Linked DNA regions of Drosophila melanogaster. The protein of the gene in region 1 interacts with the protein of each later gene in a pairwise test. Each region holds a gene or a part of one and is shown in the gene's direction. Other genes may lie near its edges.

Evidence for each region.
Region 2: the proteins of CG4073 (region 1) and bip1 interact in a two-hybrid assay, tested with the Drosophila melanogaster proteins (one large-scale study listed by BioGRID).
Region 3: the proteins of CG4073 (region 1) and witty interact in a two-hybrid assay, tested with the Drosophila melanogaster proteins (one large-scale study listed by BioGRID).

Annotation. Positions count from the first base shown.
Region 1 is NT_033777.3:10,709,508-10,718,123, forward strand, and holds CG4073 (uncharacterized protein), read left to right. Parts: upstream 1-5,290; 5' UTR 5,291-5,423; coding exon 5,424-6,305; 3' UTR 6,306-6,394; downstream 6,395-8,616. Other genes in the region: CG14689 (uncharacterized protein), read right to left, coding at 169-1,632.
Region 2 is NT_037436.4:8,051,573-8,063,417, reverse strand, and holds bip1 (bip1), read left to right. Parts: upstream 1-4,704; 5' UTR 4,705-4,957; intron 4,958-5,324; exon of another isoform or gene 5,325-5,371; coding exon 5,372-5,538; exon of another isoform or gene 5,539-5,917; intron 5,918-7,042; exon of another isoform or gene 7,043-7,109; intron 7,110-7,209; exon of another isoform or gene 7,210-7,244; coding exon 7,245-7,542; exon of another isoform or gene 7,543-7,617; intron 7,618-7,978; coding exon 7,979-8,773; 3' UTR 8,774-9,085; downstream 9,086-11,845.
Region 3 is NT_033779.5:8,333,599-8,344,868, forward strand, and holds witty (without maturity), read left to right. Parts: upstream 1-4,688; 5' UTR 4,689-4,841; coding exon 4,842-4,890; intron 4,891-4,981; coding exon 4,982-5,067; intron 5,068-6,585; coding exon 6,586-6,712; intron 6,713-7,265; coding exon 7,266-7,567; 3' UTR 7,568-8,458; downstream 8,459-11,270. Other genes in the region: CG14273 (uncharacterized protein), read left to right, coding at 9,331-9,391, 9,785-10,243, 10,474-10,712.

The DNA of each region.
Region 1 (8,616 bases):
TACCTTAAAAATCCAATACAATTTTTTAAAAATACTAGTAATATCCTACAATATTAGTAACAACAATATTGCCAAGCTTTCAAGATTTATAAGTATTTTATTCACGAATAAATAATTTTGAAGTATTTGAAGTCTCTTGAAAACCTAATGGATGTGTACGACCTCAAATCAATCGAAATAGTATTCCTGTGGCGTTTTCTTTTGGCGCGGCGAATTGAAGCCCCCGATCCGCGAGGAGGTGATGCTAACGTTGTCCGGTTCATATGGAGATCCCTTGCGCAGCCTGGACTTCACCTTAAAGTAATTGGATATGACCTGGTCGACCTTGGTTACCGGTACCTTTTCGGCCAGTTCCTTCTCGCACCGGGATACCACGTTGGTGAGCAGCAGTCCCCCGGAGCGATAGAACTGGACGAGCTTGTCCCGCTTGAGCCACTTCTGCAGGATCTGCACGCTGTGCGGCTCGTAGATGCGATACACCTTGTAGAAATGCTCGTAGTTTTCATTCATCTTGCGCGCTTTCAAGGCGTCGATCTTGGGAATGTCCAAGTGCGGCTGGCGAATGATGTGGTACGGATCGTAGCCAAGCGAAAAGTTTGAGTAGCGAACTGTGGGCCAGTCCAGGTCTAGGATGGTGTTGTACAGATCCTTCGGATGTCCCAGTATGCCGTGTGCCACATCGATCATACGCAGCTGTGGTCCCGGCACAATGTACTCCAGCTCCATCTCGGCAATGCGCTTGTCGTTGCCTCGGTACTTTCGCTCGCCAATCCACAGGATGGGCATGTCCTCCTCCGCCACGTGCTCCAACTCCTGGACGAGCGGCGATATCTGGGTGCGATAGTTAACGATTTTATGGTTCCGACCGTACAGTAAACTGCGCTCCGCCGGCGTAAAGCTCAGATACTCCGGACGTGCCATAACAAAGTGATCGGAACGAAACAGACGGTTCATTTCCATCTCAATGACATTGTACGCACGGCGATGCATGCAGATCCAAACAATCTGGGTCATCACGGCCAGAAACTGCTCGTGGAAGACGCGGTCGCGACTGGTATCCGAAATATTGATAATCTCCTTCATATGGTAGTATTTGGCCATATCGCCCTCTCCCTTCAGAATCACACTGTAGTTGCGGGCCACCAGGAGGCGATACTGACTGAGATAGATCGAGAATGTCTTCTTCATATCGATGGTCTGATCGCTCTGGATCTGATCGGCCAATTCGTCGCGCCGCACCAGCACAAACTCCACCATACGCAGAAAGTATTCGAAATAAATGATGAGCGCATGGATCAGACGGTGAACCGCCGGGCGGTGCATGAACTCCACGAACCGGTAGGTCAGAAAATCGCTGGGCATCAGGAAGAGGACCAGGTCACGGATGTCGTTGATCACCAAGGTGTCAAAGTCATAGGTGCCCGTATCCCGCACGTAAGCCTGCCGGAAGATAAGCTCCTCCTCCTGGTCGATGATGCGCAGGAACTTATAGCCATTGGTGGTGATGTAGCGCTCCCTGGCATTCTCCAGATCGTTGTGCGGCTCGAATTCCAGGCAATCCTTTTCGGCGCTCCAGGACCACTTGCCACTATAGTACTTCGGTGTGTAGTTGTCCACATGGACTCTCTTCATGACTCAGTCTTTTTTTGAATATTTTTAATTATAATTGTGTTTTTAAAGGTTTTTTCTGTTATGTATTTCTGTATCTGTTTCTATAATTAGTGGTAAAGTGTGTACAAAGTTAACTGACAGAATTTAAAATGAATTTTGATTACAGCATTCGCAAATATGAAAATAAGCTTTCATAAAGCATGGCAAATAACTTTTAAAATGATTATAATGTATTACATACTCGAAAATATATTTGAATTTGTTTGAATTGATCGACAAGTAAATGAATTTGCTTCTTTAACGTCTTTGGTAAAATAAATACCATTTGTTAAAGGAAGCTAAGAGTGTGGTGCTTGAAGCCATAAGCTTTAATTTATAGTCAACATTTGTATAGAAACACAGAAAAAGCTTTCATGTTTTTTATTGTGGCACTTGGGGCTCCGGATTAACTTTAGCTTTAAGTTTAAATAAATTACTTGCTGTTTTCGAGCATTACAAATTAAACAATTCACTAAATTTACAACATATTTTCGACTCTTATTTTATTGCTTCTTAAAATTTTTAAATGCATTTTTTCTATTCTTAGTAACAGTGTAGTCTAGTTATATTCAAAGTAAAAATATTTTTGAAGTGTTATCATAAATGATATTTCATTTCAAAATTTAAGCTCAGATGACAGATAACTTTTTTTCATTCACACTTTTTAAAATGGCCCCTTATTATCACAGATAATTATTTAGTGAATGCCTGTTTACGCTTTTCAAGTGACACATTAAGTGGTGCTTTCAAACTAAATGAAAAACAACTTGGTCTTCTAGATAGAAATTAATGTTTAGTTCTTTCATCTTAATGAACTTAACTCGTTGCAAACGGATGATAGAAGGGGCTCAACAAAGGAGAAAAGAAAAGGAACCATAGTTATTTGCACCATTGTTTTCTTTGACATGTTGTCAACAATTCCAGGACTTGTTAAAACGCCGCTGAGCACTTAACGCTTGAAAGGCTCACATAAAAATAGGTGGACCATCTGCCTTTTAGCTTGAATATTTTCTATGTCCGGAAATTTTTTTATTTTCTGTACATTGGAAATAATAGTTCTAGAAGTTCCTGGTACAATTCACACAGTCCTTATGAATGTAGAACTGGTTTGAAATTACTTGGAAAAGGACAAGGACAATTCCCAGCTGCTTCTTGTTCTTCGGAAAGGGCTTAATATGGACAAAAAAAAAATATGTTGGACGTAGTTAAAGAAAACCTTAAGAGGGAAACGAAAACTGAAAAAATCATAATGAAGAAGTGAAAATACAATGAGTTTCGCTATTCCTTTGAGAAAAAATTCATTACATAGGAAATTTATATATTAATTATAGCTATGATGTCATTCATATTGCATCATCATTTGTTTAAAAGTAATTTATTGTCTATTAATTATGTAAAAATTTAAAGGGGCGGATTCCTATGCACCTTACTCCCGTTCTTATACAGTAATTTCGAAGGATAACTGCTTAAACAAACGTTTGCGATTAACATGCGTTAAGTACACAATTTCAGTTACATATGCATAAATAAGCATTTAAATGCGCCATGCCCCCCATGCGTAAATAATTTAATTGCATGCGAGTCGTCTCGAGTGTTGGCATACAAAATAAATTGCAATTAATACTCGATACGAAATCAACAGCCAGAACAGGTGCTAAAAGTTGCCTTTAATCATATTGTTAAATGTGGAAGCCCGTGTCGTGGCACATCACGTATACGCAATGTGGTGCAGAAGGCAACAGCATTTAAGCCAGAAAGTCACGAAAAGGGAAGGGAAGAACAGGAGAGGCGTGAAAATCTGAAAGAGCTGGAAAACCGGCAATAGCAACAGCTACAGAAACTCATCCAGATGTAACTCCCTGCTTTGTCGCCTGAAATCGTGCTTTGTCCTTCGCTCCGTTCATCTGGCTTCTTGAATGGCTCAGTCGGCGGCATTTATGGAAGTCTTGGTTTTTGCCTCGGCCTTAGGCAGCTCCTACCATCGTTGCTAAATATTTATTAGCCCTCTGATTTATTTGTTCAATTGCATGTCGCACGGTTGGAGGGCCACGGTATGATTTTGATGTAGGTACGTGCCACATAAGGCATATTTAATGTCTTCCCCCACCGAATGGTGTTTTAAATTTAAAATTTTTGCCGTAGGTAAGTGCTTTACAGGGCTTAAACATTCGTTTCTATATTTACCGCAAATGTCCTGCTTTATTTAGAAATACGATTTTAAATAATTAACCCTCTTTGAGCACACTTGCCCGGCTCACATGTCTCTAATAATTTCCTTCCCATGAATACTTAATACGTAGCCCTATTATTAACTTTCAAGGCTAAAGATTTGACAAATGTAAGCTGACACCCCTGATTAGATAGGGGGAATGCTTAGTGCTTATTAATAGAATGCAAGTATCTATTAAGTATTATTGTTGCTCAAATGCACAAGGATCTGCCAGTTCAATCAATCAAACAGACATTATTGATGGCACTTCATATTTCGAGCCATTGTCATGACAACCTCAGATGGACGTTTTAATTGGTTGGATAAGTAAATTACATTTACATTTTACATCAATTTTCTGCGGCATTAACAAGGTTGGTTTTTCAATGAAAGCATAAATAAAACATAAATTAATAGATCGAAATGGGAAATGTACGTATTGATACTAATTTATATAGCTGTCACATATGTATTCTTAAATGTATTTGCCTAAGGATAAATTCAATTCTTCCGCTTCAATAAATCTGTTGTACAGTTCACAGCTAAATTCAACTCATTCGAGCGTCAATAAAATCCGATTGTCCTTCTAATTGGATTTACTATGACTTCCTTACGGCACTTTGCCGTAATTTGCCATTTGTTCGTGTTGTGGTTTTCCTGGCTATTGGCACTGTCAGTTTAAATCTCTTAAAAGTTATTGTTGCTCTGAGTGGCAGGCCGATTGATAGGCATTTGTAGGATTTTTAATGCCAAAGCTTATTATGACAGCAAACTGGGGTAATAATATCGAGAATGCCCAAATTTCCTGATGCTGACATTTGTGTAAGCACGGTTTTAGATAAATACGCATATTGTCATCGATTATTGAGGATTAGAGAGCAGGCGAACAAAGCGCGATAATCTCTGACTCAATAACATATTCTAAAGAAAGCTAGGTAATAAGACACCACTTGGTTTCCTCTCCTCCAGGCAAGTTTTTTGCCCGACTCATGTTTATTTAATTCCTGACTTTGTTGTTTGGCTTTAGGCTGTGTTTGCCAATGTTTCTGCACGTGCTGGCTTTTCAGCGGCAGAGTCTAATTAAAATTCAGTAAAAGCCTCAGCCACAAAATGGCCCAAAAAGTTGGCCCTCAGCGCACACAGTTCGCCAGAGCTGAATACATATGTAAACACATCATCAGGTGCAAGGTGGGCCATCTTAATGAGTCTAGTGACAACGCAGCACGTGTCATTGATTAGCACTTCAGTTCTGGCCAGCATAATTCCCATTTAATATGCATGAGTATGCATATACTGCGCAGTGGTTTCATTAACAGAATTATACATCCAATCGATTCGTTATTCCATCACATATCAACACTAAAAAGTATCAATCATTTAACTGTATTAGTTTCAGTAGAAAAATTCCAATCGTTTATTTCAGTAGATCTAAATTGTAACATAACACTTTTTGCCCACAGTACACCCACCGCCTTGTTAATCAAATATATTCATATTTAATATACATGTTCATAGCACCCAGCAGGTTCCCACAACGGGGGTGGTGGTATCAACGCGCAGAAAGATGAGCAGGCCAAATCCCACGCCACGTTCATCGACGGGTCTACGCAAACCGACTGGTCAAAGATCAACACCTCCACCCAGGCCACCACCTCATGTTCCCGCTCCTGCTCCACCACCGCATGAGCCTGCGAAACCATATGGAGAATCCCCGGGCCTGCTGAGCCCGGTCGCATCGTCGGGTCCTTTGCGCCAACGCTCTTCTGTGCACCTGAGGAAGAAACACCTCGGTTGGGTCTACTTGATCCACGCGGTTCTATCGGCAAGTGCAGTAATTCAGCTTGTGGTCCTGCGGCTCTGCAATAAGGACTTCGGGGAGCTAATTAGCCCATCGGTGCCCAGCTTCGTGTGGCTGCTCCTGGCCGTGGGATGTGTGCTGATCATGGCCTACGTGTACCTGGCCAACCAGTGTCCGTGCAATGGTCTGCTGGCCATTGTCATCGTGGAGGTGATAGTGATATTTGTGAATTGCCACCGGTGGGCTCGTCTATCGATGCTCTGGATGACTGGTGTCCTGTCACTCGTGCTGGCCCTGAACGTCATGCTCTACTTGATGGGCGTCTATCTGCCGCTGAAAATACTGCCCGGTAGCATCTTCATGATCGTCCTCACATTCTGTTGCATAGCGATTGTCGTTTCGATCTACTTGATTGTGTATCTAAACGGCAATCGCTATATAATGCGATACGTCTCGATGGTCAGTCTGATCTACGTGGCTAGTCTCATCCTCTTCACCATCACCGTTATCCACCAGCGAAGATTCGAGCATACGGATCGCACCGAATATGTCCTGCAGGCCACCGTTCTGGCCATGCTGTTCGTCTATATGATTCACCCACTCTCAACTATGGTGCGATTTGGGCAGTTTTTGGTGGACCATGTATAATATAAAATTGTTGGAAGTGTATCATCATCTCTAATATAGTCTTAAGAAATGTAATATTGCCCAAATTCCTATATATACATATATATTGTAGCTTATTAGGTGGCTTTATTATTGTTAGTTTTAACTGGTTAACTAATAGCAGCAGGCTTATACAGTTCCGTCATGCTTTTATAGTTCCGTAATTTTTTACAAATTTATTCTTATTTGCTGACGTGTGCAGTTGTTTTGACCAACATTGGCAAGCCTTTAGGCCGCCGGGTTCAGTTCGGAATCCGGTTATCGAACTCTCATCCAGAAGGATGTTTGCATGTGTATTCATGAAGTGTGTATGGGTGTAGTTGCTCTTAGCGACAAGATCCTTTTTGTGGCCATTTCGTGTTTTATCTAAGTCCTTCTAGCCGATTACACAGACAGCCGGACAAAGGGAAACGGAAAGGACCCGCGGCAGAAATGAAAATAAATAATACCCGGGCCCAGCCATATTTTTATGAATTTTTCCATCTTAGCCCTTTGCAGTGCAAGGATATTTTTGGATTTGCCTTCGTTTGTTCACTTCAATAATTCTGAAATCATCCATATCCTCTCCTAGGGCCACTCAAAGTTGTATTTTCAGTTTGGGTTCAACTTATGTTAATTTTATAAATTCCATTTCCGTTGAATCGCTTTTAACTCTTTAAAAATAGTTTTCCACCAGCAGTGGCAGCAGCAGCAGGATAATGGCCTCCAGAGGGGCTATTTTCACAGACGAGAGTTTTAGTTGTTTACTGAACCACAAGTTGGACATTAAAATGCAGTCCAAGGGCAATGTTTTTTTTTGCCGGTTGTGGATGTAAAACAGTGCGGGCTTCTGTGAGTCCAAAACATGCATAGTATTTGTATAAAAGGTCTCGAAATTGTTTTGAAATAAAATGCTGTTTGTCTGCGACTGGTTTTTCATTGCCAGTGTTTAAATTTAATGCATAAAGTTAGTTAAATTTAAAATGTGGTTTAAGTGTATAATACTCTTAAGGGTTAAAATTCCTTGGTTTATATTCACCAATTAATTAAACAAAAACATCGTCCTTTTATGGTAAGCTTATTATTCATTATAAGTCATGAAAATAGATTGCCCAAGGTGGACATAAAAAGTTAGGTCAATGATTAACTTGACATCAACATGGTCGTTATAATCATCAAAGCAATGTGCTCCATGAGCTCAAATTAATCATTCAGCTGCAATGAATTCTTTGTCTCGAACCTTTGTTCTGCACATGTGACATCTGTGAAATTCCGTACATTTCGGTTCAAAAACCCATTTTCTCCGCTCCATTATGCAAAAAGTTTTTTTTTGCGGCTGTTCCTTGTGTCTCCGAATAACGAGAAGCGAATCAGCCGAGACATCAAATTAATTCATAAAATTGTCCATTTGTCCAACATATTGTGGCCAAGATGCCGGACGGATTTGGTCGGAATCTACGGCAATTAGTTTCACAAGTGCCGGACTCAACCATAGGGACCGTGTCAACCAGTGATGCGAACAGGTAATTTATAAAACATGCTAAAAGAACATGGTTATTGAGGACAGCCTCACTTTTATCCCACACATCGAAGCCAAAAGTCAAAAAATTATTTAAAAATCTTTAATATAACTTCATCCTGAAAAAAAAAATTTCCACACTAGTAGTGTTATGTTATGTTGCCAGATCCTCTGCTGCAGGATTTTTTTTCCCTATGACAACGCTTAGGATTCACCGCTAGAATGCCATGAAATCAACATTGCGATATAATAAGCCAACGGCAGGAAGATGAAGTATGGGTGCACAACTTGGATCCCAAGAGGCGGATGCCATAAAACGTGGAACACGTCAATAGTTTCCAGATGTCTGGCGAGGGCAGGACTTCGAGGAGGGGTGTTGTGCTCATGTCAAGTTATGGGTCTGGATGAATTGAAGAAAGTTGCCAACTATTCGACAAACGTCGGAACAGAATTCCTTGAGAAAGACGCAGTAGCTGATAGATGAAAGTTGAAAGCCACTTTCTCCCTGGGGGGCTTTAACTCCGCAGAGAAACTACTTTGACTTCAAAAAGTGTATCTTTAAATCATTTACATAAGTTATGGCAAGCTCCATAGTAAAATGTTTGCTTAATATTTTTAAAGAAAGTAGGCACACACCATATGAATCGCTTGGGGCTTGCTGTACCCACAAGTTCTTGGTGATAATTTCATTAAATTTGCGGAATGTTATCAATACGAACTAAATTCCGCCCTCTTGAGCAACGCAAACTCTGTTAATATATATCAAAACTTTGTTCAATCTAAATTTAGATGGCA
Region 2 (11,845 bases), on another chromosome or scaffold:
TTGTTATTTGCTTTAATTTCTTAATTTTTTATGCGTGGGAGAGTTCTATCTGTTCTCCGTCTCTTTTTCTCTGATTCTCTGAAACCGCTGCACGTGCAATGCAAAACGTGGAAAATTAATAAGAAAACTAAAAATGATAAGGATAATCGCATTAATATGTAAACATTTTTTGGAAAGAGATAAATTTAAAAAATTCTTCAATATCTTGATTTTTTAATGCGTTAATGAGAACTTGAATACGTAAATTAAGTAAATTAAATAATAAATAAATCGACAGTACTTTAAGATTTAAATAGTGCCCTTAAGTGAATTGCCATTTAATGACTGCCGCCATGGCTGCGTGGGTTATTGTTGGAACTTAAATGTTTAAGAACCACAAGTTGCATCTTTAATTAAGTGTGTTTAAGACAAGCAGTTGGAACTGGCTTTTTTCTACAACTTGTTTGCAGGTGCTTTCTTTGGACTTCACCCCCTGCAACTCTCCACCCCATTCTACATACATACATATACATATACATACATATACATATACATATGCAAATTCGTATTTTTTCCCCTCCCACAACAAACACGCCCCCACAATAATTTGTTTTATTGCGATCGTAAAAACACTGAGCAACAGAATGGGAAAAATACAAAAATATGGTATTCGCCAGAGCCGCCAAAGTCGAGACAATGAAACCTGTTAATTAGCTTTGCTCAAATTTGGCAGAAAAGTATAGCGACAAAATAGCCAGGGCAAAAAGAAGAGTGAGCCACAATTGATTAATGCTCCACAGAGTCTTCGGTTTGTTTAGACCCCTCCTTCAATTTAAATACGTATTTATTTTTTGGCTGTTTTTGACTTTGAACTTGAAAAGGAGCATTGCCACGACGGAGTTGTATCAATAGAACTCTAATTGAAATATTATGGGGAGATTTTCATATGGATTCGGATATTAATTGAAATGTGGAATGGGCAAATTCTAAACTTTATACATCATTTTAGTTTTGTTCATAATTTATTTATAATAATTGATTTATAAATCATTTAGTTTTTGAAAGCGACAACCTTAACGATTATTTTCCATAAAACTGAACTATTCAGATTAGTTTGTTTCTCAGCTCAAAACCCCATTTAAATATGAATGCAATTATATTAAAGAACCCAATAAATCAAAGCGGCCATAAACGCGTGTCGTTTGGCTGTCCACTGTAGTGGAATAGCCATTTGTCACTTGGTATCACCGTGAATTAAACACTTTTCCCAGCCCCCAAACGCCTGATGCTAAAGCAGATTAAATCTTCGGAAATTAGACAATATCTTCATTAAATGATTTGCTCTAAAGAACTTATGGAAAGACGGCCCAAGGTAATCGGGTGTTAACTTAATCCAAACTCCATTAGCATCAGTTCGAAGCTGGAAAACCATTCAATGCCTCAGTTTAACCTTTGTGCGGCTGTGCTAACAACTCTGCTGACATATCATGGGGTTTTGGCCGGGAGGGGATTTTCCTCTGGTTGACCCACATACATAGCTCCCCAGAATACCGAATTCAGAATTGTTATGGTAATTTACAACCTCCAGTTAAATATTTCAGCTGCACCCAACTGTTGCAGCCCGCTGGGCTGCGCTTATTTATATTTGTATTGTGATCGAGTTGACAGTAGCACAAATTTTGATTGATGACGCTTGATTGACATTCGGGCAATTTGCTAATTCTATTTCTAGTTGGCCACGCTTGGAAAATGTGTCGCCTTTTGTGGGTCACCGCGGTCCTCAAACAATTCTTGTACATGCCGATCATTAATCATAATGAGTCGACTGCAATTGAGGTGGTCTTTGCAGTGGCTGCGTTGCTAACTAGCAAATTAATGGGAATTATGTACGCTGGGTGGCTGTTGGGAGCGAAAACTTTAATTAACTTGGGCTGTCAGGTCGAGTTGGCCGATTAACATACGCTCAGGCCTATCAAGTGTCTGCCATCAGTCTGTAAAAATGGAAAATATCCAGTCCAGTACGGCCACTCAAAGTCAAAGTGGAGCGGCTGTGCTGCGGCTACAACTAATTGAAATGCATTGAAAGTGCGTGCGACCAGTAAATGCTGCATATATAAAAAATATACAAACAAATAGCAACAACATAAACAAAAACAGTAACAGCAACAGCAGCTGCGTGTGAAATGTCAAGCGGTCCGCACTTTGGGCTAGTTGACATTTTGCCAGTTTGGCTAACCGAAAAACTACAACTTAATTACTCCCGTTTCGATCGTCAGCTCCCCCTAAGCAACCTTTGCGATGAATATCGCCATTTTGTTGCCTGTCATTTGTTGGGCAACAAATCGAAATATATAAAAAAAGTGACACTTGCCAATCTGCACAGTGTGATGTATGACGTTGACCCGATTTCGCCTGCTTTTTATTATCATTTCCATCGCCTGCATGTTGATTTCGTGTCTTGTCTGTCCGTACACACCTTTCCATGCCGCGACGAACGGCAATTTGTCTTTGCCTCAGGGGTGCCGATTATAATAATTCATCGGGAGTGCATTCGAGTGTGGGCAGCAAGTTCAAAGTGTTAAGTGTGATTTTCAAACATTCGTAATACACGGCGTATACTTAATGTTGCCGCAGTACAATGCCAGCGAATCGGATTGGCCTTCTGACACCCGAACAACAAATGTCAGGATGGCCGAGTGGTCTAAGGCGCTGCGTTCAGGTCGCAGTCTACTCTGTAGGCGTGGGTTCGAATCCCACTTCTGACAAGAACTTTTTGCCATTTTTTCGTTTTATTTTTTGAGCTACAAAAATAAAAATTTCTAAAATCCAAAGTATTTTACAATTATTAAATCAAGAATATACTCTCTCTTGACCAAACTGGAAATTGGCACTCGTTAGTTTAACAGTCAGGATGGCCGAGTGGTCTAAGGCGCTGCGTTCAGGTCGCAGTCTACTCTGTAGGCGTGGGTTCGAATCCCACTTCTGACAATACTCTTTTATTCTATTTTCCACAATTTTTTTCTAATACCAATTAAACTATTTTTACTTGTGCTAAACACACACTTCTTTTCAGTTTTGAGAATGAACCGTTTCAGTATGTGGTCCCCAACCAAAAGAAAATTTGATCTTACGGCTCTTGAGAGTCAGGATGGCCGAGTGGTCTAAGGCGCTGCGTTCAGGTCGCAGTCTACTCTGTAGGCGTGGGTTCGAATCCCACTTCTGACAAAGATTTTTTGTCCAATTTCATTCAGCAAAACGATTAATTTTTCCAACTAAAACTTTTTTTGCCCCTCACAATGATCACCATTTGTTTGGAGCATACATTAGATTGCTTTAACGAGCCAGCTTCCCTCTCAGGGGCGCCAGAAAAATTACAAGTAAATCAATTTGTAACCGCCTAATTGTCAATATTCCAATCACATAATCGGCTGCCAGTTAACGATTGCCCCCGGCTGTCGGGCAGACCGACAGATACAGCGAGACCACACAGGCGATGATCAAGCCTGGCCCCCTTGGGAATTATCGCCGTCTGGCATCGCCTGCAAACACTTCTACTTCTACATTCATCGCCAGCTCGAGTCATTCGGCTCAATCAGACAGAAATTAAAATGCTGACTGAGCGCGTTTTCGAATGCGGCCCACTCAGTAGTTTGTGTTTTCACAATTGTTCTTGGGAAAAAACAGTGCAGGTCCATCCGTAATTATGCTGCTGTTTGTCGGTCGTAAAACGCAATCAACTGGCCACGACAATTGACAATTTGGCTAGTGTAAAACTAGCCATTAAAGTTTTATTTGCTTTAGCACTTGAGAAATTGAGGCTGGCCTGGCCATAACAGGCGAATGGGTCAATTGGCATGTGACAGCAAGAAGCTGCAAGCTGCAGGCTGCAATTTCCACAGACAATGCAAATTGACGTCTTGGAAATATGAGTGATGTGACAAGTGGATGCTTATCTGCGGCTCGACGCCCCTGTTTTTTTTCGAGGGGCTTGCCTCCTTCGTCTGATGAGCGCCCATTGAAATTTATGACTTCGTCGAACCGCCAATTGATTGGCTTTTAAATATCCAAATGAAGGCTGCCAATCGCGAATTGTGCGGCCGTAATTAATGTACAAAAATCATTTGAACGCACGCCCCAAAGCAACACCTGCAGCTGTTGGTATCTTTATTTATGGAAAGCTTTTAACACTTTTAATTAATTATGGGATGGAAAAGTTGGCGGCTTAGCTATGTTGCAAATTTATGACACTACAAATTGATAATTGATAAGCAAAAATGCTATCTAAATGCTAATTTCTCGAAAAGCATATAAAACTAGAGTTAAGTGGTATTTAAGTATTGCAATGTACAATTAATATATTATATACAATCAACTACAAGGTGCGTAATTGAAAGGTGCGCAGACATCATATTATTAAGTAGTAGTTGAAGTATTATTTTCTTCGATTTGATACATATTCATTGCGCAGTACTTTATTCTTTAAAACACTATTATTTTAAATATGACTCATTAAAATAATAAATCATAAAAGAAATACCTATTTTTTAATGTCCTTCAATGGTAGTTTTTACTGTGCGCGATTGAAATCTCAGCCTGATTCCGAATTTGTCAGAGCTTTCCGGCGAAGATCTCGCACGCATGGGCACAAAGCTCGACAAAGCTGGAGAGACGCTCTCCAAACCGAGCTTCGCGCGGTGCCTTCGCGTGACGCAGGCGGAGCTTTCGACAGTCTGCTCCCACGAGTGACGTAGCGCAGTATAGAATGCAGAACGTAACAGAATCGTAATCGGAGCCGCATAGCATACCGCTAATTAGAAGATAGATGCCCTTTTCATTTAATCGTATCTAGCTGCGATCGCTTAAACCGGCGCCAATTGTATTCAAAGTTCCGTAACCGAAAGCTTTCACCTAGAGTTCTTGCCGTGGGGTTATTAAACTCAGAACTGCCGGTCAGAGAAAAGGAGACTTTGTGTGACAGGTGAGTTCATTATGTACATATGTATCTGTTTTCCTAAGATAAGCATAGGTAAATAATGGCGATGTGGGGTACATATGTTTATATTTAATTTCAAAGTATTTTGTAAAAGGTAAGACCACGCGGCTTTGAAAGGCAAGCACAAGTTATCCAAAAAAGCTTTTCCGTGGATGTGCATCTTATTGGTGCTTTTCTACGTGCAGCAAAGCAAGCTTTTATTCGCCAGAGCGAAAGTTCTTGGGGTCACTCTAGGTTTTCTTTTATTCCAAGAAAGAAAATAAGAAAATAAATAAGATATATGTATGTACTTATTTTAATGGTTTTCTAAACTAGAGCTTATTAATAAAATGATAAAAGAAGCAATAACCTTAAATTAAAATGAGTGATTTTATCCAATTTTAAAATAATATTTGATAGATGACGAATACGATAACCACTCTTCGGATTTGCCAGGCTGTGTCGCTAAATCCTAGCGCGAATGGGCCGGAACCAGTATTGCCACCTTCCTCCAGGATTTGTCTGATGGGTTGCCAGGATGTAAAGCCCAATGATCTGCGTCGTTTTCCAGTCCACGATACCGATCGGTGAGTATTATACACATACATACATACATATGTAGGTTCCTCCTGCCAAGAACCACATTAAACCTGTTTTTAGAGCCTACGGAGAGCTTTCCGATCGATTCGATCACCGAAGCTTGTTTTTGTTGCGAATCACAAGTGCTCATTCTATATTTTAAACACCATACCATTAAAGCCATAACAATCCAAAGCTTTGGACCCCGCTCGGTGCTCCTCTTCTTCGTCTGATACCGATACCGATACTCGCAGTCAAAGGTCATTGAACTTTCGCCCTCCCTCTCTTTCTCTGTCTCTGTCTCTCTGTTTTTTTCTCGGTTCGCATAAAAGTGCATCATTTTCATAGGAATATTTCAATGCCATGGCGGCTAAGAACTTGTGCAGTGCAGCAATCAGAAATGCAATAATGCCGATGTGGGCGGGGCAGTGGGTGGGCGGGGGATAGGTCCCAGATTCCGACTCCCATTTATTTATAGCTCTCACGCTCTCCTGTAAATGCAACAAATGCGCGTGGGGCTCTGCTCTGCTGGCCGTGAAGTGAAGTTATTTTGTGTTTCTTTGCTGCTTCTTCATCTCCAGTTTCTGCAGTTGGTGCGCAAAAAAAAAAAATAGAGTTCCGTCTGCCAAAGTTACTTGGCATTGGCCATGGAGTTTAGAGTGGACCACTGTTAAGCGAATTCTTCCTCTTTCCGAGGAAACCCCAGAATGTTAAGCTTTATTTATTATCAAGGAAAGCTCATATTTTACCTTTCGTCGGTATTATCACTAAATGTACTTTGAGACCAAAAAAGTGAAAGTCACTTTTATAAGCAAAATCGAAATAAGAATGACGTTTGCTAAGTTTAATTATAATAGTTGGTTATCTAACTGTAGTCATTGAGTTCCGTTTAAAAATTTTCAAGATATAGTATGAAATTTTAAAGTGAATTATGACAATAATTTTAATTTCACACAGTTGTACGTTGGTTTTGTAAGTTAAGCATAAACCATTCTTATGAAAATGGTTTCAAGCGATTAAAATTTATTTAAAACTTGGCTAGTAAGTCAGATTAAATATGGTATGAGTAGGCAAATGATTTTGCTGTCCCTGACCTGCACAATAATTTCGCATTCGGTCCACCCTAAAGGCCTTAATTGTTGTTGTTGTTTCGCCTAGCCATAAGCATAAGGCAAAAAGAAAATAAGCCTCATTCCCCCATCTTCCACAAATCGGCAGAAACAACAAAAATAGGGGGAAGTTGAGCAGAAGCTGCAGCAAAAGCAACAGCAACAACAAACAATAACAATTCCCCGCGAAACTTCCGCTGAGCGAGAAGGAGCGTACGAAAGCGTTGCTTCTCGTTCGCACTCGCAAAAGAAGCATAAAAAGAGCTTAATTGCAGCGAAAACTTTTTCAAGAACTTTTCCAAGAGAGAGCGATAAAGAGAGCGGAGAGCGAAAGTCGGATCTAATTTGAAAGCGTCGCAAGAACCAGAACGAAACTCCAATGCAGTTTCATTTTGTCAGTTTAATCATTAAACAAAGAACTGCGCAACCGATCGCAACTAGCTCGTGGACTCTTGTTCTCCCAATAATTGGTATGTTTTCCATTTTGCGTTAACATGGAAAATGTGTGAAAAGCTTTTTCCCCCTCCAAAAGAAGCGTACTGAACTAAGCTTTCGGTGGTTAGTAATAGTAGTCGTTATATCTTATTTTTCTTATTTACGTGCAGCTGCAATCATTGGCTGCGTCACTTTGGCGTCAGCTATAAACTGGTGGATCAACTCGGCGGCCTCCAAAAGCTGCGCATCTGCTCCAGACACTTTAGCCAACGCCAGGAGATGGCCAAAACCCGCATCAAGATGACGCCGCTGCGCAAGTCCTCGTCCTCCAAGGGCATTGTGCTACCCATTAATGCCGCTGGAGGGTCGGTCATTGCAGGCGCCTTAGCAGGAGGAGGAGGTGCAGGAACTGGGAGCGGTGCTGTCAAGTCGGCGGTGGCCAGCAGCACCACCATTGAACTTGTTGAGGTGAGTGGCAGCACAAAAGAAAACAAAAGTTCAGCTTTCATAGGGGTTGGTAATTGACCCAAGCTAAATTTCAGTTCAGACAGAAATTATGTTTTAGACTCCGTAACGCAATTTTCGTTGTTTATTAACCAATTGAAATAAATCGTATAGGTATTTGAGCATTAAATGGTATTCCAAAAACGGGCATGCTATTAGAGTTAGTTTAACAACAATACAAGCATGTCTTAAAAAAATACGTACAAAGCTATTTATTCCGTAAAAGTTTAATTTTTTATAACGAATAGCGACAGATCCTGAACTTTTAAAATTTCAGAGAACCCTTCAACGTTCTTTCTCTTTAAATTTCATATTTTAAAGATATGGTTAAAACTGCTTGTATGCATATATAAATATATACCACTATAAATGTATTTTAATGAACCGCATTTTTTTGCAGAGCCCCAATAGACATCAGGCCAAGAAGCCCAACACCGGCATTATGCCCATGCCACAGCGTTCCCACTCCATTAGCTCCTCGGCCTCCAGCGATGTGCTGTCCATAAACTCCGACTACGAAGCCTCGTTACCACTATCAGCCTTAGAGGATTCCCAGAATGGACTGAACCGCTTGGAGAACGGTCAAGCCAAGAAGAGGAAACTGTACGTGATCACCGAAAAATCGGATGAGACGAAAGGTCAGACTCTGGAGACAAATGGACAGCCCAAGAAGCGTAAGATGTTCGTGGTTGTGGAGCAGGATAAAGATGTGGCGGGCAAGAAACTAATGATTATGGCCGACAAGCCGCAGACCAATCTTACCCAGCATTTGGAGAAACTACTGCCCGAGCTATTGAATCGCATACAGGACAAAGAACAGAAGCAGATCAAACCAGCTCCAGTGGTGACTAAAGCCAAGCCGGTGGTTAACAATCCCAGACCACATATAACATTGCCGCCCAAAAAGAATCCAACTAATTTTGCAAAGATCACGTCCACACCAAGCTCAGTGCCTTCATCCATTCAGATGCCACTGCCAATTCAGAATACCAAGATCCTAAAGTCCGAGAATTCGGAACTGACAATGAATTCGGATGAGATCGAGACGAACATAAATCTATCGCCCGACTTCCGCTTCCTAATGAAAATCCTACCCAAATTGGAACAGCTGCCCGAGCCCCACAAGCAGAACGTGAAGCGTTCCATCCAGATCTTCGTGGAGAAGAGCTACAGTATTTACGGCAACAAGGATTAGTTATCAGTATTTTCGGGCACAGCGTTTATTTTCCATTTCATGTGAAGCAGTTCCCTTTATTTTCGTACATACACATACATACATCAAAGGCATTTCATAACTTTGTGTAAGACTGAAGCAGAACCAATTTAATTTCTAAGCCAATTGTAAGAGCTGAAGCAGCTCCCCATTTAGACATGTAAGCTTATCAGAAATTTGATATTACCCACCTGGAGATGGGTAGATTTTGTAAAAGTTGAGCCATAAAAACGAATTAAGATTGAATTTCTTTCTATATTGAATATATGAAAGCTTGATTTAAGCCAGAAAGATAAACCGTCTAAGAGTCTTATTTTTGGGATAAGAAGGTATATAACGAGGGGATATTACCACGACCCACAATTAATAACACTAGTGTTTTTTTCTTATCTTTTTGGTTTTTTTTTTTTGCATTGTAATTCCAAAGAACTTTATTTAGTTTGAAAGCATTTGTTTACGGTTTCTCTTCTTCCATATTTCTTTCTTTTTTTTTTTTAGTTACGTTATAATAATATTTAGTAAGTCTAATGCGGTTTTATTTAGTGTGGTTTAGTTTAGTTAATACAATGGTTAGTGTGTCTTTACGATTTCCATGTAAATTATGCAGCTTCACTTCGTCCTGGAGAAAGGATTGCATTTGGTAATTTACAATTCTTGCCGGCCCATTTACCACTACACGTGTATGTTTTGGGTCTCAGTTTCGTTTTAAGTTAGTATATCCGATTAATGTGGTTAATACATTACATATATACAGTTAAACACTTCATGTTTAATTTAGCTTGCGGGTCAAGGAAACCAAATTATGTGTAAAGTATTAGGGAACTTTGTTGCGTGCCTTTACTGGATGAGGATTTCTACATGATTGGAGTGACTCCATTTCGAGTGCTACATTATAATCGAGTAATATATACTTTTTACAACATTTAGCAAATTTTCCCGTACACATACAATAACTCGTATATCATATTTTTGCGTTAAGCATTTGCCATCGATTTTTTTTTAGAGGGTATAGGGTGTGTTTTATATGGTTTTAAATCGTGTTTGTTAACTACGTTTTGGAGTGTCCTACATTATAGCGTTTGCCTTTTTGTCGGTTAGCGTATCGAGTGTTTTTACATGCTACTTATAAGAAAAAATATTTGCCTTAATGTTGTCCTACGAAACAGTTATGTCATCATCATCATCAATGAGAAGCAATCACAAAGTTTTCTCTAAATTTATATACGACGATTATTACTATTATTTATCATTTTCTTTAGTATTTACATAATTTTTTGGAGTGCACAAAGCAGCCAGCTTCTGTCTGGTTAGTGTAAGCAACTAGAACTACATTCACTGTGGAGTCGAAGATGCTCAATTATCCATTTTGCATTTACACATCGAGTTGGTTAATCGTCGTTTAGATGTGGGTTAGTGGGTTCGGGTTAAAAAAACTGTGTCACAATTTCTACAAACAGCCTTTTGTTAAACATGGTAAACGTACATATATGTTGGTTATTTATATGTTATGCGAATTTGGGATTATTTCATATATGTATATAGGAGTATTTTGTAATTTTTACATTTAATAACCTGAGCGCAATCATTTTTATGTTTTATTCTACCAATCTTGACCAATTCTGGTTTCAATAGACTTCTCTCCCCTGAGAGTCTCATCATCATATATTTGGTTTATATTCAAAGTTTATGATGTACATGGCATCCTTAGGTATCCCGTATTCAATGGAATGCTGTCTTTGTACCTGTATTCTAATACAAACTTGAAGAATTGTTGGTGTGTGGTGTGTTGTGTTTTAATCTCAAATATTGTCCATAAATATACATACACATATCGTATATAGTGGGTGCTAGTTGTCTGGGGTTGCAGTGTTACATGGCTATAAATTCTAATTAGCAAATGCATTGGGTTGGGTTGGATCCACTTTAGGTAATGCGATAAATAAATAAAACAAAATGGATTCGTTTTCTTCTTTTTTTTGTTTTGTTCTTATTTTTTATACAAACAGTTTACACAATTTTTCGTTTTATCCTCATTTAACGTAAATTAATGCGTAATTCGTATCTAGTATATATAGTTAAGAATGATCCTTAAAATCGGTTTACAAGTCAAATACTAATGCAGTTTACAATTACAGTTGATCCTTAACTTATGAACTCATTTCAAATAGGCGCTACAGTCGCCAATCAAATTATATGGGCCCATATGAGCCGATATCTTGTGTCAATTACATTATGTTTTAGTTCAGACCTGCTCCAATCGGGGGTTGTGCTATTCGTGTAGTATAATGTACATGTCCATTACTTATCTCGTACTCGTATTATCTCATAGCTAACCGTCTTACTGAGCTAAGGAGAGAGATGTGGGCTAATTATTGGTGGGGGTGTGGAGATAAGGAGATAATGCTATATACACGGTGCCTAAACCGAACGAAAACTAACTATCCGTATGCGTAGTCGTATTGTATATGTACCACTACGGGGGAGTATGTGCTTATAGATGTAAATGATTTTGATGTCGATGCTGATGTCAATTTAATTCGAGCGGTTGTCTCTGGTCAAATGAGGGGGAAAACAATCTGTACTCTATATGTTTAAGGTTAAGAAAAACTTTAGTTATAAACAAAAGTTGAAAAGAAACTCTACTTTGCTGCACAATGCCTTGGCATTTCGGTGCCTTTATGCTTTTCTTTTCTTTCATTTCGTTTTGTTTTTGCTATGAGATCTCCGTGAAAGTTTTGAATTCATATTGGTTTTTGTTTTGTTTTTGTTTGTTTGTTTTTACGCTAATTCATCCATGTATATATATATTGGATAATATATATAATGCTATAATTAATAACTACATACATAAGAAAGCAGCACAGTTAAGAGAATCGAAGAAGAGAAAAGTTTAAGTTTAGCTTCAGTTTAAATTTCTTCAAGAGTTTCTTCTACTCCATCGTCGTTTTTCGATTAAATATTGATGCATTTGTTTTGCTCTAAACATTGAAGACAAAAGACATTCAAATACACATACACGGTATACGTTTTTTTTTTTTTTAATTTTGTTTAAGT
Region 3 (11,270 bases), on another chromosome or scaffold:
ACAAATACAAATACAAATACAACTTCTGGTCGACCTACATGCGTTAGCATTTGTGTTCTGTCGTCGCCAACTCAAATGCTCAACTGCTCAAATGGCTCTGCAGCTTTTGTCTATGGGTGCGTCTGCCGCCCGAGTGGCGCCTTGTTGCCACTGCCACAGCAACAGCATCCGCCCCGCCCCCTTCCGCCCATCCAGCCATCCACCCTCTGGTCCGGCCACGCCCCCCGCCACCCCATCCTCCACAGGCTCATTGGCAGCCTTTCTTCCTGTCTGCTCAGACGTTGGCTTCCTTTTATTTTCGTGGACAGCGTGGCGCCAACATAAAAAACATTGATTTTGAATTCAATGAGCGCCCTCGCCAAAAACGTTCCGCAAATCATTCATTACTGTTATTTCTGCTTGTTACTGGCTGTTCCACAATTTCCTAATATCTTTAATTGTTTGATGTGTAGTATTGGTATTGGTTAAACATATATTAAACAAAACCTTAAATTCTTAAATAGAAGTTAGTTCCACTTTAACTTTATCTTGAAATAAGTTCAAATGTTTAGATTGATTTTACTCATATGTAGTAAATATATTTTATACATTTTCTTAAATATATATGCATAGTTAGAATTTTACCTTAAAAATATTTTTCATAAATTTTTCACACTTGAGAGCCACTTCGCATTATGCATCATAAAAGCGAGCTGGAATAAATGTCATTACGCGCCAAATTGCGCATACGCAGGGTTGGCGCAGCTCGAAAAATAACAAAACCCCTCAAGTGGATAAAGTTGTCATTGTCTGGGGGACTCTGGCATTTTGTGCAAGCCATTGCGCAAATATGTATGCAATCCAATGTCCATTGTTTTATGGTTGGAATTTCTATTCACATAGCAGTGGTAAATGTGGTTTATAATTAATGGAAGCTCAAGTTTTTGTTTATAATTTAAAAATGCAATTCTTTATTCTGCGGTGGATGGTGTCACAAAATCGAGTTGAATGCTTTCTTTGCTTTTATTTGCTCTTCGCACACAAAGCAAATTTAAGCTGATTATGCTGGTTATTTGAACTAAACCAGCTTTGTTTGTTTGTTTTGCCAGTGGTAAATCTCAGCAAAGCTTTCCTTGTCTTTGCCATTTGTTAGCATTTTAGAGCGAATCGCAAATTCCGCATGTTAATCAGCTGCATGATTTATACTTGGCTTTGTTCTTGCCAAAGGCACATAAATATGTTTTTATTATTCAAAGCGCACATTGAGTCACGTTTCGCAGCCATCGTGGCGTATACGCAATGCGAAGTAAATATTTTCACTAGCCACCTAGAAGTATGCAACGATATTTTGTCTTTGTCACGAACTCTCAAAAGCTGATTGCTGTTGATAATGGTAATGGTGGCGATGCCATGCTGCACTTGCTCCCAAATTCCTGTGGCACATGCAGCACATGGCAGACACCCACAAATTGCTGCCATAGTTCTTCGAGTTGCTTCGCTTTTTCATTTCGCCCAGCATGCTCCGTGCTCCGTTGGCTCATTGACCTGTGAATTCGTGGTAAGTTTAGAGCGAGAAAAGTAGCAGGAAATCTCTGCATTTTCCTGGTCGATTTTCCTTTTGCCTTCGGCCCACCTGAGGCTGCTTGAACGGCGATGGCAGTCAAGTGCAAGTGATTGCTGGAAAAAATTACGTACTTGGGCATTGTTTGCCTGCCAAATTGATTTCATCTGCTCAGCATTCCGGAGATGATCGGCCTGGCAATTGTTCAAGTGATTCCGAGGGAAATAGGTAAATTAAATACATACATATATTTTATGGTATAACAAGGATTTATACCAGAACCGATTAGCTTATAGCTATATTATAAGTAGATTGATGGGCACCTCTTAGATTAACCGGTTTACCTAAATTAAACCATTTTAAAGAGCTTTATCCTTTCAAATACATTTACCTATATATTACATGCTACTACAGAAAAGTAGTTTTCCACGTCAATTGAAATTTATTTATATTTGAGTTTAAGCCGGTTGAATTCCCCAATCAGCCATAAAATACCTTCACTGGTAGCACACACATATGTTGTAGTGCAGAATAATCCCCACGAACTGTGTGTAGGATTCTTTTGCAATTGTGCAAGCAGTTCTTTTTATGTTCCTACTCTCCACCACTTGCAAGTGTATTTGCAAGCGATTGATTTGCCCAGAAGCTGCTAGATATAGGCAACGATAAAGTTTTATGTTTATTGGTAGCACCGCAGCTAACTGGAATTGGTTATCCAACGTCCTTGGCAGTTGAACAAACTAATTGGCAACGGGAACCGGCGGCAAAGTGCGTGGAACGGTGCGTATACGTAATAAAGCTTAATTACACTAGAGTCAACACAGAAGTCCAACGTTTACCGACTCGGGTTCTCTTTTGTGACTATATAGCTTCAACTGGGTACGTCTGGATAGGATTGTCTGACACAGTTTTACTACACAGCCGTAAATATTTCATCAATGCGGTGGAGAAGCAAAAAGTTTTTCAATTAGCATGCCAAGCGAAAATTTCAACTAATTAAAGGTCATTTTGTGGGTGGAAATCCACAACAGCGCACAAAGTTTTGACCCCAAAAAAATGTTGTTGCGTTTTTTTACTATTTTGGCAAAACAAAATTTATGACCATGGTAAAACAGACTGGAAAAAAAGAATGAGAGAAAAAGTACATTTTCCGATTTGCACGGTTCGATGGAAAGATAAAAAGGTTGTAAAACGAAGTCGAGTTCCAACGAAAATGTGTCAAGTTGTAAAAGTCGAAAGCATATGAATGCCTTACATTCTAGGGAAACCAGTGAAATGAAATGCCAACCGGAAACGGAAGCGTGCATAAACAGTTTTAATTATGTCCTGTTGCTGTTAGCAAATGAAGTGGCAACATGCGATGCGGAGAATTCACCGAACACCTCGGGAATTATGACATCAACACTCGGATGCCATCATCGTCATTGTCCAGAAAGCTCAGAATGTGTCCTTGCCACTAGCAACCTTATTTGGTAGTGAAATTGGTCTGGTTCTGATTTCGTTTTTATTCTACCTTTCCCTGTGCAACAGGCTGCGATTTTATGGCCCACGGCCAGCGAAAAGTAGTGAAACTACGCTTCTCCAAAGGATAATTGCAATTGGCGCTAATTCGAAATTCCGCTGGGAGTTGCAGGAGTGGATTACTTCGACTTAGCTCTTTTAATAAAGTTGCTACAATTGAAACTTTTAACATTCCACAAGTTTTGTCTTGCGTTGTTTGCTTGAATTAGATTTTTATTAGTTGTTTTTCTAGAGAAAGGGCCCCAATTATCTGATAAGCTTATGGTTTGGTTAAAAAAACAAGTAAATATTCCTTAAAGATCCACTGAAGCTTTAAAGATTGCTTTTAAACTGCTGCAAAGTGAGTGCCTGAAGGCAATTCCCCAACCACCTGCAGCCACGCGACTATTCCTTTATTATCCACCAGAAACACAAGCGGCACCATTAGCTAACCCTTTTGGTGGGCTTTTGGGGCCAGGGTCGCGACCTACACCAATCACGGTCTGCATTGTTTATGATAAATGGAAACGCTTGCCAGCTGCTCTGCCCCGCGGGAGATATGAAAGAGCTGAGATTCGGTTTCAGTTTCGGATACGGGGTGGAGTGGGGCGTTTCTGGTGGCGATGCGGTTTCCTGTATGTGAGGACAACCGTGAGCTGGCGATAAATGTGCGCCCACGCCCGGGATGTCGTCCTGTGGCCATGCGACGAGGTCAGGGAAAAGAATAGGGAAGCCGCATTGCAGGAACGCCGATGAGTTTTCGCTCTTGGATGCCACTAATTGCTGCGCTTTGTTGCTGCCACCCAATCTCCTCTGGGCATCTACCCCCCACCACCCTCCTGCATCCTTTTCATTCAGTTCGTTTTCCCACGTTTTCGCTGCACTCCAGGCACTCATATTCTAGCAGAATCTCGCTGGAGCTGCAAAACTACTCATTTCGCGCTTTTTTTTATGAATACATAATTTAATTTGAGCTTCAGTGGCAAACTACGAACTGAAGTTATTAAAAGGATAGTGTTGTTATAATTTGAAAGGCACTTAAAAAGTTTCATCGAATATGAAAAGTAGCAAGCATTTCAATTACAAATACCTTTCACCACTTTTCTTAACTTAATAAGAACATTTTTGTGATGCATAACTTTAAAGAAAATCATTGCAAATTAAGAGGAACAGTTTCTCCCTGTGCATATGGCTATCCAATATTTTCTATTTACTCAGTTATTTTTTGAAATAAAACTTTATTATTCAAATTTTTTCGCCATGATATCTTATTGGCTTTGGTGTTGAGCCGCGGTGCAGAGGCCAAAAGTGTTTGGCCACAAGGAAATTGCATTTTTTCCGTCGCGTTGCTGCTGTTCCTTTGACGAGTAGTTGCCATCTTTGGTTTGGGCTGGTGCATTTCGCATTTTGCAATTTAAATAAATTTTCCTTTGCTGCCATGTGGGGCGGCCAAGACGTTATTACTGTCGGAATCAGGAGCCACTCAAGCGACGCACCCACGCAGGCAAAAGGGATCCCAGGACGAAGGACGCAGGACGAGCAGCTTCGCTTCGTTTCGTTTCGTTTCGATTCGGATCGGTCCAAAAACGATGACGTAGTCGTCGTCCTTTTGCTGGCAATTGCCTTCGCCAAGTTGGCCAGCAATTTCAGTTTGCCTTTGGCCAACGGCAGCGACAGAACCTCCCGAACGTCTTGGAGCGGAAAATTCGAGAAAATCACAGCGCGCGAGTGCCAGAAAATATTTGAAAAATCTGCCAACGAAAAGGGAATAAATCAAAGAAAGGAAATTATTGTGTGAATCATGCCGGGAATCCTATTGCCACTGGCGCTATTGGCCCTCGTTTCAAATGGTGTGTGTGTGTTGCCTGCGGTTATTGGGCTTGTAAATTCAGAAATTCCTAAAATGATAAAATGTACAAATGTATATTGCATATCCCACAGGCGCAGCCATCAGGTGTTATGTCTGCGATTCCAGTGATAATCCCAGTTGCGCCGATCTGGGCTCGAATTCCAGCATAGTGGCGGAGGTGAGTTGGAAAGCAGATTGCTAGGATTGATTGATTACTGGCCTGTTGTGACCTGTTGGCGGGCCACTGGGTTGCCAGGTCAAGTTGGTTCAACCTTTTCAAACCTAATCGCATTCAAATCGACCTTAGTTCTTAGTCAAAAGCTTTGGCCCAGACGGTCGCAAGTTAAAGCTATATGGCACATAAATTTGCACTAGCAAAATACAAAAAAAAATAGTACAAAGCAACGGTTGGAAATGGAGCCCACAAAAGCGGAAACGGAAACGTGCTCCGTCGTCGTCCTCTTGTGGTGGCAACCCACTTTTCCCCTTTTTTTCAGGCTAACTGAATTTTCTGTTACTGGCATCTATCGCCGTTTTTAGTTGACTGCTACTTAACCCGGCCACGTGCCAAACAGTTGAAATACTTTCAACTTTCAACCAAAGTCCAACAACGTAAATTTCAAGCTGACAGGTTCTTGTAGGTGTCTAGTTGCCCGTTGGTAGAATTACTTTGATTTGAAGTGGCGACACCTGAGCTCAACTGGCTTATAATGCTACCAAAACTACTGCCAAGCACTTTAATTAAAACCATTAAAAAATAAATATCAAGAGAACATAGTTTCAAAGCTTTTGGGATATGAAAAAGAAGTTTCCAGACTCTTAAGTGGTCTAGAATTTTCTTCTGCTTAGTTAAACGTTTTTGACATCGGAAAATAACTTTTTTTATTCTTTTCTTAAGTTAATGAATCACTAAATCAAGTTGGTAAAACTACAACTGTTAATTGATTTATTTCCACAAAAACAATAACTTTCCTAGAACATCGAAAAAAAACTCAGTGTCAAACTCGCTGAAAGTCCCGTGCGACTTTCTTATCATTGCTGGAAATGATAGCCAAATTTGTTTTTAGAGACGTCAAGTAAATTCTTAAAATTTATTTCATTTGTCAAATCAGAGATGTGAATAATCAGCCACAAAACAGCCAAATGGCGCAAAATGTTCTGATTATTAATGGCCTGAATTATTAATTACGGAAATCTTATCTTGTATTGTGAGCGAAACTCAATTTTGTGTCAAAATAAATAATTCAAAATCAAATTAGATGCGCCAAAATAATCCCCTCAATTTATGTGTCTGATCGTATTGAAGATTTTAAATCGCAAAAAGAACAACAAATGTGACAATGTCATTTAGTTATTCCTATTAAATGGAGCACTTAAGGTGTTTATCCACTTTATCGCTGAAAACTTAAATGGGGTTTTCCCCTTTCTCGGTAAAAAAAAGCTGATACCTTAACGCCTAAGCCTTTCCAAGAATCGTTTTATTTCACTTCTTATCTGGGCTAAACAAATAGAGTTCAAGTGGTCTTGGTCTGGATACCAAGGCCATTCGGAAAACGCATCGTTAACGATATGGCCGAATGATTCGTCGATAAGATTAATAACTTACGCATCGAGTGCAATGGCAATTAATACTTTGATTAACCAAACAATAGGCATTCGTTGTTCCCCGGATTAAATTGCTGATAATATTTTTTAGGAATGCACTTTGGACAAAATGAAATCGCTGGACACCTGGCTATTTGACTTGAATAAGTTCTCATATTTCGATAATGGCGCCAACAAAAGTCCGCTCATGAATTGCCAAAAAGTTGTGGCCAAAGACCGTGAGTATTTTTTTAGGAAGTATAAAATATCAAATATATTCAAATATAATTTAATATTTTTAACATAGATTTAAATTCACTTGAGTAATGGTATCACATTTTTACAGCAACTTGACTCATTCTTATGGCTAATAAGCGATTCTTATCAAATGGTTAGAAATAAAGCTGCAATTTGCAGTGCGACTATTGTAGAATGTCAATAAAAGAAGCCCTAAAGATAACGAAAAATTTTATAGTTCACATGACACAGATTGTTTATTCAAAGCACTTACTTTTTATGACAATAGCAATTAAGTTTATTTGTTACATTCCTTTGGCAATATTAAGGATTCTAAAACATCAATACTTAAATTAAATTACGAGAACTTTACTTGTACTACAGTCATTTTAATTTATGAGCAAATCACTTGAATTTTCAATTAAGATTTTAACCTTTTAAATATAGTTGTATATATAGATGTATTGTATATAAATATTTAAATCAAGTGAATTTAAGTAAACCCAACTAAGTTGAGCTAGTTCTTAAATTTCGATATCTTGCTATTTTTCGCAGCTGATACAAGGAAAGTGGTGACGGCGCGCTTCTGCCAACTGGACACCGGCGACTCGGATGCCTGCGAGATCCTGCGTACCAAGCTTCGCATCCCGAGCCCCGAGGAGCGGGAGCAGCGGAATCGCAACCAAAACAAGCGAAGGAAGGGTCACGGCCAGGATGCGGAGGAGGATGACGAAATCTCCGCAGAGGATGCGTTCTTCTGCGGCATCTGTAAATCGCATCGCTGCAATGGTGCGGCGGCCGTAACGCTTTCCTTGGCTACGATTCTGGCCATGATTGCGCTCCAATTGGGCTGCTAAGCCAGTTGGATGGTGTGTGAGGGATATGGACAGATAACCGTGAAACGAGTGGTGGCATGATGGTTGCATTTAGGTTTTGATTACTTTGTAAATATTTGAGTGCAATGTCGCTGATTCGTACAGGTTGCTTCAATGGCACACACTACTTAACCCCATTAACCCCCTACTCCCTTAACCCTAGAAATGTAAGCACAGCACAGACACACACACGATACACCGATACAGTACATACAAGAGGAAGGAAAACACACACGGAAAAGTTCGCTTTGATTCAAAACAAATATGAAACTTTCGATTTTCAAAATAAATACCGGCAAAATAAAGAGTAGGGATATGTGTTAACCATACATCCTATATATCAATATAAAAATGGCATTCTATGCCATTAGCTCTTGTTGTTCAGCTTTATTATGTTACTATTCAGATTGTTAGTTTTAATGGCTTGGAGCGATGTGCATAGGAATTCACCAATTGCCTTTAATTCTCATATAATTTCTTAGGTAAATTGAAAAGTGCTAAATGATTCCAAAGTGCTTATATGTCCTAGTCAATGAATTCGTGTTAGAATATTGAAAATTTGATAGTACGTAAATTGACTGTAAAAGCCGCAAGCAAAAACAATCAACTTAATGCAAGACGCGAATTTAGGAATCACGTGAAACAAATGCAATAAATGTTAGTAAATGTGCAATTAGATGAAAATGTCAACGAAAAGCAATGCAACAATTATTACGTGAGCTTCAAATCGGCTAAAAACAAACAACAACTATATAGTACCATATGTTTTTTGCGACGCGTCGAGCTCTCAGTTCTGCTTAGTTTGTAAGCGTTTTTTGAAATGGAAACTAAATTGAACATTCCGAGCACACAATAAATGCTGTATGACAGTATAAAAGATTTTGGAGTGCGAATTTTTTAATAGCCGATAACGATGACTTTTATAACAGTCTTGGCATCAAGATAAAGGGTATCTGGGTTACTGGAGCTTGGAAAAAAGTATCAATGCAATAAAAAGTATATTCAATTCATAACAAGAATATTGATTGCCATGAAATTATTGTATTATATTTATTTTTATATTTGTTTGTTGCGTTAGGCCAACAGAGCGTATGCGCGATATTCGTAATACCTCTTACTTTCTAACTTACTTTCTATCTTTTCAACGGTATCCAACTCTTCGAGTGACAAAAAAAAAACTCCCAGCCCATATCAAATATTTTGTTTTTGTTGTCTTTTGCTCCTTTTTGGACTTGTGCTCCGCAATCAAAGATAATTTTCCCATTACTCATGTAAAAGATGCTTCAGTTTTTCCCGCCTCCTACGCCCGCTTATCAATAGCTCGACCTCTGTCGCTCCATCATGCTTTCCCTGTCTCTCGCATTTAATTTGAAAGTCTGGGCCGATGCTATCGTATGTCGTATGTAGTTTTTTTTTCCTGCTTCCCGTGAACTACATGTTTCACCAGCCCCGCAAATCATGTGTCAACCCCCCACAAGTCCACCAAACCCACATTTATGGCTATGAAATTCAGTTTTTGATGAAGCAAACAGCAGACTCCGGAAGGTTCTTTGTGCCAGTTCAATTTGAATTTTCGGTAGCTGACACGACGACGTTGGAGCGGTGAAAAAATAAATAAATTTATAGAAAATATATCCATAGAAGGCTGCTCAATCTGGGCAAGTTGCATGCTCTGACACTTTGACGTTTGGCAAATTGAAAGTTTTAAACTCCCCATTCACCACCCCATCATAAACCTGCCCGGAATGCGCTCCTTGTGGCTTCTACTTCTAGTGGCTTTCGTTGGCTGCGGCCCATGTGTTTCAGGTATGTCATAAATCATCGAGTGGTGTAAGCCCTACACCGTATGCTAATTGATTGACCCCGAAGCGAGTTACAAAAAGTTGCGCATACGCAACGTTGAACCAAACAGAGGGGTGCGCTTATTGCTTGGGTAATCCAGCTGATAAGGTGAAGCTGATAAGGCGCACCCTCACGGGTGCCCTTTTAAGGTCATAGGTTCATGTTTCCTTTTGTGAATTTCCACTGTGAATTAAACCTTATTTTGCATTTCATATTATGCATATAGTTATGTTATTGGCATAAAACTAACAAAAATATTAAAATGATTTAAAGATCCATATTAAAGATGATATTATGAGCAAGGTGGCATATTTTTATTTTTACTTAATATTTATTTAAAATCTCTTCTTTGCCCAGCTTTGCGTTGCTACAAATGTGAAGACTGCGATGAAAATACGCAGCTAAGTGAAATGGAAGTGTGTGAGAGTCCACTGATGGGCGGCAACTCCAGCACGAAACCAAATCCTGCTCCTTCTCCATCACCAGCTGAAACGAATAATACAAATAGTGCTCCTGGCTCCTTCTCCTCCTCCGATGCCAGCGAAGAGGAAGAGGACTCTGAAAGCGAAGAATCGGCGACCATAGGCATCATGCCAGCAGGATCCGGAACAGCTGCTGTAGGCGGAGGAGCAGCTGGAGGAGCAACCGGAGGAGCAGCTGGAGGAGCAGATGGATCAGCAGCGGAAGAAGTTGTAAGCGAAGAGGAGGAAGAGGACGAAGATGAGGAGGATGAGGAGCGACGCAGGCGGAGATCGAATGCACGACAGGTCGATCTCGATGTGCCAATTGCCTTCTGTTACACAGTGAGGCTCCAACGTAAGCAACTGCCGCCCATTCCCATGGGTGTGCATCATAAAAATCATAAAAACGCCGCCTGGTGTGATGCTCCCCCACCCATGGCGATAAGTTATCTACGACTGAGTCATGCGAAAATAGCACACAGTGCAAACTGAAATGCACTAGATGTAATGATTTGTATATAGATAGGAAAATATTATTATTATTATGATTTATTCAAACCTTATTCAAACCCACCTGCTCCACAGTTAACGAATCGACGATCACCAAGAGGGGCTGCACCACCGCCAGGAGGAGCAATCAGACGGGTGGATGCGATGGTCTCTTCGAGAACTGGACGGTGGCCGGATGCCAGCTGTGCCAGGACGATGGATGCAACCAGCCCATGGCCATCGGATCATCCAGTAGAAACAATGTCCAATTCTGGACACTGCTGGCTGGACTCATGCTAATGGCATTTATGACCCGCCGCCATCCGATATGGTAGAAAATCAGCAGACACGGCGTGGGGGCTCGATCGATATGAAATATAGAAATACAAGATATATGGCCGCCACAACTTCGATTTCGACTTTGGTGTCTGAGTTCATTGTTTTTTGGGAGCGCTTGCCGATTTAGCGCGGGCACATGATGTGTCTATTTATACCTTGCTTACCACTCGAAACGTCTATTGTCTGGTGGTCATGAGCACACCTGAGCTATTTTCGCATAATTGTTTAATTGGCATCGATAAGGAAGGCATTGTCCCTTTTTTTTCCAAATTCTACCAGCTAGGGAAAGTGCTCGCTCATTGAGTAGAGGCGTTTCATTCAAGTTGCAACCGTATCGCAATCAAATCAATTAGTCGCTGGCGATAAGAGTGATGACGAGGTATACCGTATTCGGTATGAGTCGTGTGCTCCATGACTTCCATGACTTCATGCGACCCGAAAAAAGTCTGATAATACTGTTTGATACAGCGATCAACTAACTGGGCAACTGGCCAAAGCGTTTAGGCCGATAAGCGTTAGGAAGTCGAGTGGCAATTGCTGCCTAAAGCTTTTAC